3 linked regions of the Sus scrofa genome follow. The protein of the gene in region 2 binds, or shares a complex with, the protein of the main gene of each other region. Links are inferred from orthologs where the notes say so. Each region holds a gene or a part of one and is shown on either strand. Other genes may lie near its edges.

The links. Proteins that work in one complex are often made in the same cells at the same time.
Region 1: CPSF3 (region 2) and CPSF2 share a complex: the UniProt entries of both Homo sapiens proteins name them as parts of the cleavage and polyadenylation specificity factor (CPSF) complex. The link is inferred for Sus scrofa from reciprocal best matches to the Homo sapiens genes CPSF3 and CPSF2.
Region 3: CPSF3 (region 2) and CPSF4 share a complex: the UniProt entries of both Homo sapiens proteins name them as parts of the cleavage and polyadenylation specificity factor (CPSF) complex. The link is inferred for Sus scrofa from reciprocal best matches to the Homo sapiens genes CPSF3 and CPSF4.

The regions. Positions count from the first base shown.
Region 1 is NC_010449.5:113,687,056-113,690,936, forward strand, and holds the end of CPSF2 (cleavage and polyadenylation specificity factor subunit 2), read left to right. Parts: intron 1-402; coding exon 403-702; intron 703-2,423; coding exon 2,424-2,558; intron 2,559-2,932; coding exon 2,933-3,025; 3' UTR 3,026-3,469; downstream 3,470-3,881. UniProt on the Homo sapiens protein: Component of the cleavage and polyadenylation specificity factor (CPSF) complex that play a key role in pre-mRNA 3'-end formation, recognizing the AAUAAA signal sequence and interacting with poly(A) polymerase and other factors to bring about cleavage and poly(A) addition.
Region 2 is NC_010445.4:126,871,956-126,875,836, reverse strand, and holds part of CPSF3 (cleavage and polyadenylation specificity factor subunit 3), read left to right. Parts: intron 1-734; coding exon 735-822; intron 823-1,281; coding exon 1,282-1,351; intron 1,352-3,847; coding exon 3,848-3,881. UniProt on the Homo sapiens protein: Component of the cleavage and polyadenylation specificity factor (CPSF) complex that plays a key role in pre-mRNA 3'-end formation, recognizing the AAUAAA signal sequence and interacting with poly(A) polymerase and other factors to bring about cleavage and poly(A) addition.
Region 3 is NC_010445.4:6,380,515-6,384,395, forward strand, and holds part of CPSF4 (cleavage and polyadenylation specificity factor subunit 4), read left to right. Parts: intron 1-1,389; coding exon 1,390-1,485; intron 1,486-1,836; coding exon 1,837-1,930; intron 1,931-2,965; coding exon 2,966-3,038; intron 3,039-3,881. UniProt on the Homo sapiens protein: Component of the cleavage and polyadenylation specificity factor (CPSF) complex that play a key role in pre-mRNA 3'-end formation, recognizing the AAUAAA signal sequence and interacting with poly(A) polymerase and other factors to bring about cleavage and poly(A) addition.

The DNA of each region.
Region 1 (3,881 bases), on a different chromosome or scaffold from region 2:
GGTACTCCTGGAGTAGCATCAGGTCCTAGACGATGAGACTCCGGCCACCCTCGGCCACACACCCGCGGGAGTCCGAGGGACTCAGTGTTTTGGCCTTAGTCTCACCGGTTAAGTTAGACTCACTGGAGGTGGGACCCTGGCATTAATATTAAAAAACATGAAATTACCGTGTGGTCCCAGTGTGCAGTCAAGGTTAAGAATCGTTACTTAGGAAAGTAGGCCGGGCCCTAATAATCTGAAAGCACGAGGTCATTGCCGGTTATGGTGAAGAGCAGTGCAGTGAAAGATTTTCAAATTTTACTACATAATTCTAGAGGTAGAAAATGATACTAAGTCATATATAGTTGTCGAATTATCCTCTGTGGGCTTGCTTTCTCTCTTTCCCCTTTGTATCATGTTTAGGTGAGATTGAAAGATTCACTTGTCAGCTCCCTTCAGTTTTGTAAGGCAAAAGATGCTGAATTAGCTTGGATAGACGGTGTCTTAGACATGAGAGTTTCCAAAGTAGACACAGGAGTTATTTTAGAAGAAGGAGAGCTAAAGGATGACGGCGAAGACGCAGAAATGCAGGTGGACGCTCCTTCAGACTCCAGCGTCATAGCCCAGCAGAAGGCCATGAAGAGTCTGTTCGGAGATGATGAGAAAGAAACAGGTGAAGAAAGTGAGATCATTCCTACACTGGAACCCTTACCACCTCATGAGGTAAAAAGCACCTGCCACTTCCCTCCCTCCCTTAATTTTCCCTTTATGTTTTTAACCACTTGAAATGTGTCACATATAGACTCATTTTGGAATTTTAAAAACGAGACATGTTTCTGTGTGCGTATGTGTCCTCTACGGCTAGGGAATGATAACAACAGTAAGGTAACCTTGAGCAAGTCTGATAAAATGCATAATTGTGTCATGATTTGTTTTTGCAGTGTGGAATTGTGAATTTTTTTTTTTTTTTTTTGGTGCCTTTTTGCCATTTCTCGGGCCGCTCCCACGGCATATGGAGGTTCCCAGGCTAGGGGTCGAATCAGAGCTATAGCCGCCAGCCTACGCCAGAGCCACAGCAACGGGGGATTCGAGCTGCGTCTGCAACCTACACTACAGCTCACGACAACACCAGAAACACCAGATCCTTAACCCACTGAGCAAGGCCAGGGTTCGAACCTGCCACCTCATGTTCCTGGTCGGATTCGTTAACCTCTGAGCCACGACGGGAACTCTAAGTTGTGAATGTTAAGTTTGATGATTGTGAGGGTCACCCACCTGCTGCTTTTTTTTTTTTTTTTTTTTTTTTTTGTCTTTTTTTAGGGCCGCACCTGTGTCATAGGGAAGTTCCCAGGCTAGGGGTCCAGTCCGAGCTATAGGTGCTGGCCTACACCACAGCCACAGCAACATAGGATCCTAGCCACGTCTGCAACCTACACCGCAGCTCACAGCAACGCCAGATCCTCAACCCACTGAGCGAGACCAGGGATCGAACCTGCTTCCTCGTGGATACTAGTTGGGTTCATTAACCACTGAGACACGAGGGGAACTCCTCACCCATCTGCTTCTAATCAGGAGATTTATAATATTCTAGGAATCTCACACTCTGACATTCCATTTTAGTATGTTGTCAGTTTGAATCAGTTGTGGTTTTGATAGTGTCAGAAACCTTTTATTTTTGGTATGGGTGTAATTCTAGTCTCGTGTGTTATTTACATGTTCTCAAGAGATATCAAGTTAACTAGAAGAGCTTTCAGGTAATTAACTTACAATAATATTAACTATATTATGAGAGTCTTACATGGCTGTCAAGTGATGTCTTTAGTCCTTCTGTGCAACAAAGAAGAGATGGCCTCTGTCATCCCATCCCTTCTAGTGTCACTCTTGAAGTTGGAGGGAGGAGTTAGAAACTCTCTGGGCTAAAGCTGGCCCTCTTCAAAGCAGCTTCAAAGTGGCAGCATTAGGTCGAAGCACTTGTCTTTCTGTCTAAAACCCATGGCATCCGTCGTATTCACTGTGAGGCGGGAAGGGAAATGGAAGTGGATCGGGGGAGCGTTCTCCTCTGACCTGTAGACAAAGGACTTGGACCAGGAAAGCACACTCTTGGTTCAGTTCTGCCTGCTGGCACTGTAGCTGACCCCCTTCGGCAGGTGGGTGGGGGGAGAGCGTAACATTATCCAACGTCTGCCTGTTATTAGGAGGCGTGACTAATAACACTGATTGTGAAACGTTGGGAACTGTGAAGGGCTTTGTAATGTTAAACAATGAGGTGAAATTCAGAATAACAACTTGGAATGTGATTTACAATCTTGAAATGATCTGTCAAAGGACTTCAGCAGGCAGCAGAAAATATCTTAGAGATCGTGTGTTATTTCACTTTATTCAGTACAACGATATGCCTGCTGTTTTATTTGAAGTTAATTCTTTCCCCTTTAACCTTATCTAAGGTTCCTGGACATCAGTCAGTTTTTATGAACGAACCAAGACTCTCTGACTTCAAACAAGTTCTTTTACGAGAGGGGATCCAAGCTGAATTTGTAGGCGGTGTCCTCGTTTGCAACAATCAAGTGGCAGTCCGTAGAGTAAGTGTGTTTTTAATAAGAGCTGACTTGAACACGGTTTTCTGTTGTGTTATTTGGAATTCCGTAGTTCTCAATTAATTTTACAAGCTGGTGATCCATGATTTACGTTCCTAATGATGACCTTGAAAGCTTTTAAAAGTGATTCTCAGAGACATGCTGTGTAATTTTATTGTAGAGGTTTATTTGAATCCTCTGACATTTCTGTGTCGATGTAAAATGCATGACTTGAATATTATATCCATATTCTGTGAATCAGAGCAGCCCTTTTCCTGACCAGTCATAAAGTAATCTAGTTTATATTTTGGTTATTATTCATGAATAGAAAATGTACTAAAGAACTTATTTAAATTTTTTTTTTTTTACTTTGTTTCTAGACGGAAACTGGACGCATTGGATTAGAAGGCTGCCTTTGTCAAGATTTTTATAGGATAAGAGACCTTTTATATGAACAGTATGCCATTGTGTAAAGGACATGATGTCAAGAAGTATCTGTTTGACCTTTCTAAGAAAAAAGGATCTAAGAAAAAAGAACTCTTACTCTAAGCTTTTGCTTTTTTGTTTTGTAACATACAAAAAGAATCTGCCAGAAAAACTTAACATGCATTAGATTTTTAAAAGTGTAAGTGGAAACCATATCATTGCTAATGCTCCAGTGAGCATGCGACCTTTTGGCTTTCGGCGTGATAGAGATCCTTACAAGTGTGCAGCCCTGGCTGAAGGTGACTGGCTTCCTTTTCACACCCCTTATTCTAGAAGGGCTTTTTACTTGAATAAAACAGTGCAACTTAGCAAACCAGTTCATGGCCTTCAAGAAACATGTTTGCATGAATTCTTGTAAACGGTTTCTTCCATATTCTGGAATGAAAAGTGAGACTTTACTTAGAAAGGATGTGCTGTAAAAAACCTGATAAAACAGCTTTTTGAGGCTTATCTCTTTCAAAAACAAAAAAACCCAGTATACGTGCTCTAGTTCTTTGGAATTCCTCTATGCAGTTTTCTTCACATTCAGCTTCGCTCTTCATGACTGCGTTTCACGGTGGTTTTACTCTGCTGTGAGATAGTACACATCTGGTTCAGAAATCAGTTTTTATTTCTCCCATTTCTTGTTCCATTAAGATCTTGTTGTTGTTGAGCTTAAGTTATAACACCACAAAGTTATAAAAGTTATAAAAGTTCAAAAGTTATAACATTTGAATATACGTCATTCAAAAAAAAACCTCCTTGATGTGTTCTAGTCTTAAGGGTTCTGCATGCATTTTAGACACATCTTAACCATCAGCTGGGATGCTGTGTTGGAGACGGTTTAGTGTTTTGCTTTTAGGG
Region 2 (3,881 bases):
TATAATTCTCGGAGTTCCCGTCATGGCGCAGTGGTTAACGTATCCGACTAGGAACCATGAGGTTGTGGGTTCGATCCCTGCCCTTGCTCAGTGGGTTAATGATCCAGCGTTGCCGTGAGCTGTGGTGTAGGTCGCAGACGAGGCTCGGATCCCGCGTTGCTGTAGCTCTGGCGTAGGCTGGTGGCTACAGCTCCGATTCGACCCCTAGCCTGGGAACCTCCATATGCCGCGAGAGCAGCCCAAGAAATAGCAAAAAGACAAAAAAAAATATATATATATAATTCTCTTCCCTCGAAGCAAGCAAACTCGTCATGGGATACTTCTTAAGAGCACGGAATGTGATGATTCAAATAAGCAGCATTAAAATAACCCAAATCTGCTGTTCCCGTCATGGCTCAGTGGTTAACGAATCTGACTAGAACCCATGAGGTTGCGGGTTGGATCCCTGGCCTCGCTCAGTGGGTTAAGGATCCAGTGTTGCCGTGAGCTGTGGTGTAGGTCGCAGACACGGCTCGGATCTGGCGTTGCAGTGGCTGGTGTAGGCCAGAAGCTGCAGCTCTGATGGACCCCTAGCCTGGGAACCTCCCTATGCCGCAGGTATGGTCCTAAAAAGCTAAATAAATTAATTAATTAAAATAACCCAAACCTGCAAGGGCTGGAAATCATTAATTTAGGTAAATACGGTTCCCACTGTTGGAGTTTTAAATTCCCTAATTCTGCCTCTTGCTTTACAGTGGTTGGCAAACCCTTCCAATGATATGTATGCAGATACGGTAACAACCGTGATATTAGAAGTTCAGTCAAACCCGAAAATAAGGAAAGGTACAAAATTACTTTATTTTTTATCCATTAATTCTTTCATTTCTCCCATGGTCCTCTGAAGTAAGAAGCAGAAAACAGAGTCCTAAAGAACTCAAAACCTGATTTTTTCATTCCTTTAACTTCTAAAATATAATATATGCATAACAATGCACATTGCTCATATTTTATTTACTTTTTGTCCTGAGTCTTCATTCACGCTGTAAAAATACGGTTGCCGTGAACGCAAACACAAAATCTGTTGGTAACGGTGTCTTAAAAAGAGTTTAATCAGAAATTCCAAAATGCTGCTGAATCGAACCAGCACGGCCACCAGGAGAGCGGGCTGCTGCTGTCTCCGTGTTTGACGAAACGTTGAATAAACCACTTTGGTTTCTCAGCAGCTGTGTTCCGATTATTGATTTGGAAAGTATTCTAAATAGGGCTTTGGAGATTGAACGCCCTGTTGCTTTTTCTTTCCAGGTGCAGTCCAGAAGGTTTCCAAAAAGTTAGAGATGCACGTTTACAGCAAGAGGTTGGAGATCATGCTCCAGTAAGTGTGGCGTCCGCTCCCGCTCCGCAGGGCGGCCAAGCAGGGGCTGGGGAGGAGGCCCTTCTGGTGGCGTCGCCACCTGCTTGTGCGGCTCAGACAAGGTCCCTTAACGAGTCCGGGGGCCTCTGTTTCTGCCAGCCAAGGGGTTTGAACCACTTCCTTCCAGCTAAACCCTCTCACCAGTTCTGAGTCCCTGTGACCTGCTTGGCCGGCCACTTTGCTGTAAATACCTTTTACTTAATGTAGAGCCTCACGATGCTTCTCTGTGGCTCACGTAGCAGGATAAAACCTTGTCATCAAGGACAGGTACTCAAATTTTAACCTCGTGTCAGTACGCCTCTAAGAATTGTTATACACTTACTTCTCTCTGAATAGAGCTCCACAGGAGCAGTAATTTTCTGGACTCTTTCAGATAGTAAGTCTGTAAACCGTCAGTCACCTTTAGACTTTTCTCGGAATGCCAGCGATCAGGCCTTTCCTCCACTGTTTCAGAATAATTTTTTCCAAACAAAATAGTCATCTAAAACTGCCTCTTAGTGGATAACTGCAATTTAACCTTATGTATGATATCCCAAAAAGGAAGAAGAAAAAGATTTGAATTGTTTTATCATTTCAGCATCTAGCGTAGTGCCTTGAACACAGCAATCTCTCAAACACTTGCTGAGTAAACGACCGCTTCTGTTTTTAAGCTGAAGGTTACTTACTTAGATGGTTTGGTAAAATACGGCGCTCTGCAGGCTTGGAGGTTTTTATGTTACTGTATCTCTGTCCCTCCCTTTCCCCCAAATTCCACGCTGATAATCTTCTACAGCAGCCATTTACTGGCTTTTTAAAATGGGTGATAGGCTTTAAATGGTGGCTTACAAACGGTGTCACACAGCTTCAGAAGTGCTCTTGGTGGCGTCATTTTGATTTTAAAAAGCACACCTGCCATACAACCTAAAAACCAGCCGACGGTTTGCACTGCCGTGAAAAGGCTGTGGGTCCCGTGTCCGCCGGTTCCCAGCGCTGCTCCTCTGCAGTGTCTGAGAGCCTGGCCTGCCAGCCTGGGAGTCTGCGTGTTTTAATCATTTTAGACCCTGACTCCTCGAGCTGTGGAACTTCACCTGGAAGGGGAAGCGCACACACAGCCTTATCTTTGGTTTTTAAGGAGTTAGACGCCCCTTTCTCAAGCGCCTCTTGGGACCCCAGGGGGAAAAGCCCTTTTGTAGCAGACAGGTGACAGTGCTCTCCTGTGCCTGTCCAGGGGACGCATCGAGCGCAGTCGTGCTGTGAGCAGCTCTGTTTTCAGCGGCTTTACAGAAATAGAAAGCCCTGTGTTGCCCTGGCATGGCTGAGCTTCCCAGGTGCACCCATGGGTGCCGGACGGAGGCCTGGACCCTGCGCCTCCGCGGGGCCGCACGCAGGCATCCGCTCCAGGCTGCTGGCCCTTCGCCCTCGCCATCCCCTGGTCTCCTGCCCCGGACCCTGCCTGGGCCACCTGCCCTCCCACACACACCCTTCCACAAACGCGGGCACAGGAGGCCAGGGCCAGGGCCCACACGCGCCCCCTGAGTGTGAGGTGCCGGCTTGTTTCAACTCCCAGGTCGGTCCCAGTCTGAAAACTGCAGCTGTCACTCCAGCTCTTTAAATCCTTAGGATTATATGTGGATAAATTTCTTTAACAAACCGACAACTGGTTGCATAAAAATGAGGCTTGTTCTTTTGAATACATTTCTGTAGTTAAAGTATTTTCCCTTAGTACAAGGTTGCCCAGCCAGTTTATTCAAACGTATCATTCCCATGACTGCCCGGAAGAGCAGGCAGTTAATGTCCCTTCTCCCCCGACCCCTGCCCTGGAATATAGCTTTTTTCAGTGCTCGACTGTCAAGCTGACCCGTGTCTGGGGAGTTTTTCGAGTCACTGACTACCATTCCTCGCCTGCGTCCCGCCCGCTGCTTCGGCTGTGGGTTGCAGGTGTCTCTGTCATTGATGGGGACAAGTGTGGAAACGGATCGACCGACCGTCGCTCTTCGGTGACGGAGGCAGCGTCTCGGGATTTTCCACCTCCCCGGGGGCCCAGCGCACCCGGCACGGAGAAGATGCTCCGTGAGCCCAGGGTTAACCGGAAGGAGGCCTTCGGAGCGGGTTAAAGGGCTGGCGGCCCGTGGACCTAGAGGCCTGGACACGTCGCCCACACGGGTGCCCACGAGCCAGGGGCTCCAAGCAGGTGCCCTCACTGCCTCGTGCCTAAAGGACTCCCTGCCACAGTTATTATAGGTGACGAGAGCGGATATGAAGTGCCACGTGTGACGCTTGTTCTTAATAAATGATAGCTGTATGTATTTCCTGCCTTACAAAATTAATAAAATGTGCGAAAATAAGTAAGTGCATTTCAGGAGTAGATATAAGGACTCTACCTCAGAACGAGGGCCTATCGCAAATATTATTATTCCCCAAATCTTTACGTATTTATGGAACAGTTTCCACTAATGCCGCCCCTTTGCTTATCCTAAGGGACATATTTGGAGAGGACTGTGTTAGCGTAAAG
Region 3 (3,881 bases), about 120 Mb from region 2:
GCAACAGGCTTGGCCTGCTGGCCTCTTAATGACACTTGTGGCTTTTTCTTTAGAGGCAACATAAGTTGAGAGGTTAGAGCACAGGTAGAAAACAGGACCCGGGCTTCCCAGCCCCCCACTCCCTCCCTCCCACCCACAGCAGCGTGGGAAGCAGCCCTGGGAGAGCGCAACAGCAGCTTCTCCATGGGAGCCTCTCCCATCTGGAGACATCGTCCCCAAAGGCAGGAGCCACTCCCCTGGGCAGACTCCTGAGGGCGCCTCTGCCACTGGCTTGGGTTCCCAGCTTCCCTGCAGATGGGCCTGGGCCCTCTGCCTCCCAGACCTGCGACGAGAGCCTGTCCCGTCCCAGTGCAGACACACCGTCTGTAGCTCCTGTCACCTGCGCCAGGCACTGAAGGGGCAGCAGCAAAGAGGACAGGCCCGTCATGGCCCTGTGGCGCTTTTGCTCCAGTGCCCCAGGGAAAGAGGTGGCCAGTCCCCCTGTGAGACAAAGAAGAGAATTGTTGGAATTCCCTGGTGGCTCAGCAGGTTAAGGACCAGCATTGTCAGTGCTGCGGCTTGGCTCACCACTGTGGTGCATGGTTGATCCCTGGCCTGGGAACCTAGGGCGTGCTGTGGGACCACTTAAAGAAGTGCCCTCGAGACAGCGTGGTCAGAGGGCCTCGGAGGAGGGGGCCTGGGTTGGGATCCGAAGGCTAAGACGGGACCACTCAGGGCAGAGGACTCTTCTTGGACCGGCTGGGAGGCCAGTGAGGCTGGAGAGGGGGTGGGTGAGACCCCACAGGGCCTTTCATGTGGACAAGGACTGGAGCGGGCAAGCTTGAAGGGGTGTGGCCGCCCGGGGTGGCAGTGCCTGTACTCGGCCAAGAGAGGCTGGTGGCCAGCTGGGCCCGTTGCTCCCGAGAGGAGCTGTCACAAAGGCTTCAGCACCGTCTACCACAGGGACCCAGCCGTGAGTTCCCAGGCTGTCCTAAAAACGAGCCTCCTCAGGCCTTTCCCTGCCGCAGCATAGACAAAGAGAGCTCGCGGGGGCTCTCCTCGGAAACGGGAACTTCCTGCTGGTCTCCACTGGTGTGTCTGTCTGTCTGGGCCCCACGCTGCCCAGGACACCTCCTTGGGCCAGAGGTGGAGCCGTGAGTTATTTGATGTGTGTGGACCCTGTGCCCGCCTCTGTCAGTGTCACCTCTGAGGGAGGGCCATCCCTGCCCACGTACAGGTCAGGAAACTGAGGCTCTTGAGACCCTGAGCCCTGGGTCTCGGGCCGGGGCCGGACACCACAGCCCCCCCCCTGGGCCCCTCTGCTGGACGGCGGCCCAGCCTTGGGGGGGCGGGGGCGGAGGCGGGTGGGGGCCAGCTGTCGCAGGGGCCGCGTGTCCGGTGTCCCTGCAGGGGAGTGCAGCAACAAGGAGTGCCCCTTCCTGCACATCGACCCCGAGTCCAAGATCAAAGACTGTCCATGGTACGACCGCGGCTTCTGCAAGCACGGTAGGTGTCGGAGGCCAGTCCTCTCGCCCTCTGCCCACATGACCCTCTGCCTGTCCCGCCTCTTCCTGCAGAACCTGGTGTTAGTCACCAGGGGCTAGTGAGGCTTTGCCGCACCCTCAGGTCACCTGAGTCTCCCTAGGCTCCCCTGCAGGCCACGTGCTCACCTGTCCTTTTGATGAAGAAACTAGTGTTTGAGAGGATGTGTGCCTGCCCACTGTCCCTTCTCAACAGGAGGCAGAGCCAGCCCTGGCCTCGCTCTCCGCACCCCAGGCAGCAGTGTGGCAGGGCTCTGACCGGCAGAGGAGGGGCACAAGGGCGCCCCCCCAGTGCCCCTGACACTTGGCTCCACAGGCCCCCTGTGCAGGCACCGGCACACGCGGAGAGTCATCTGTGTGAATTACCTCGTGGGATTCTGCCCGGAGGGGCCCTCGTGCAAATTCATGCAGTGAGTAGCTGGGCCCTGCTGCCCTGTGTCTTTCCTGGGCCGTCTGGGCTGTGGTCACTGGATGGTGTCAGCACAGGGTCTGGGCAGGGGTGGGAGGTGGGGAGAGACCCCTGCTGCCTCCTGAGTCCAGAGGTGGCTCTGCCTGAACCAGCCTCTAGCCTTTGTGGGGTCATAGGTCATCCAGGACTCAGGTGGAAGCTGTGGGCCCCAGGCTCCCAAAACCCTTGTGCACGTGTAATCTTGCTCATCACTTGGGGGCCTCAGGTGAAGAGCCTGTGCCCTCAGGGAGAGGATTTCGGTTTCAGGGCCTCCCTCTGGAGACGCTGAGCTTGGTGTTCCGTGTACACTGGTTCCTAGAACCCTCATGTGTGCAAGAGGGTCCCCATCTCACACCTGAGGCCAGGGTCATGTGGCACAGGTGGTACCACCTGGTCAAAGGCAGCTGTGTGGCCTCTAAAGCCCGGTCCTCCTTGCTCAGGAGGGCGCATTGCTCGTCTCCTGGGCCTCTGTGCCCGGCTGTCACTTTGGGTGGTCATGGGGCAGCACCGCATCTGTCCTTGCTGCTGACACCGGCACGGAAGCAGCATATCCTGGCCGCTGCCACATGGTGGGCAGGTGGCGGGTGCTGCTGACAGGGCTCCTCTCCCTGGGTAGGTGGCCGGGGAGCCTGCTATCAGTTCTGACACTCAGTTGCCCTGCGGGAAAGGCAGGGTGTGTGTCGGGAGGGCCTTCGTGTACGCCAGCTATTTCTTTCCCTTCTCTGAGCAGCGCTTGCTGGGCTCACACCTAGTGTAGACAGAGCTGGGTCCAAGGCCAGGCACAGCAAATCTGTCTTCCCCACCATCCCGAGGCCTTGGGTGGAACTGAGCGCCAGCACCCACCCCGTGCCCAGGTGCTTTGGGTGGCCCTGTGCTTGGCTCGAGACTGGCTGTGGTCTTCCCGAGGCCAGAGCTTGAGACCCCCACCTGGCCGACCTCCTCTCTCATCCTCTCCTCCGTCTCTCGTTCCCGTCCCCTCCTGCTGCCGGGTGACCAGCCCTCGATTTGAACTGCCAATGGGAACCACGGAGCAGCCCCCACTGCCGCAGCAGACGCAGCCTCCGGCAAAGGTACCGTGCCCTCGCCCCGTGGTGCTGCCGGCCCTGGCAGTGCCCTTGCAGCAGAAAACTCAGTGCCCGCCTCAGTGCGGGGCTGCTCTGGACCTGGCTGGAGACCGTGTGCGGGGCAGGGGTCCCCCTAGACCCAGCAGAAAATCCAGGCAGCAGAGCAGCTGGCACCCTCCTCTGGGGGTAGAGGGCCGTCTGCCTGAGCCAGGTCCCACGTGCGTCTCCCTTCCCGCCTGCCAGCGCCCGGGAGTGGAGTGCAGGGCGGCGTGGGGCCTCCGGTTCCAACCCTTCCCTCTGCCAGTGGGACTCACCTGAGGGGCCCTGCTGGGTGGGAGCAGACCCGGAGCGGGCCTGAGGCCGAGGTTGAGCGGTTAACTGCTCCGCGTGGAGCCTCCCAACTGCAAGGAGGATGCTGGGAACGGGGCGAGGGACCATTTGGCTCCAGTCTCCCAAGCGAGGGTCCCACGACCCAGCAGTGGGCTGGTCCCCCCAAGCATGAGGGAGGGAAGTGCCGTAGACAGAGAATCTGCAGCAGTGCCCCCAGACCAAGGGCACCGTGAGTTTGGTTACGGGATGGGTGGGTGGGGGCCCAGACCGAGGCGGGCCAGGTGTCCTAGGCGGGGTCTCAGCAGGTTGCGTCAACAGCCCACCGATCCTGAGGCCTCACTCTTACCTGGCTGGACTCCGCCTGTTGCCGAAGCCCGGCCTGGCCCCGCTCACGCTAGAGGCCGAGCCGCCGGGAATGTGGCCGCCCTGAGCCCACCCTTGGGGGGTGTGGGGTGAACCCAACAACTGTTCTCCGGCAGAGCCGGCACTCCTGCCTGTGGGGGCGGCCGTGACAGCCTG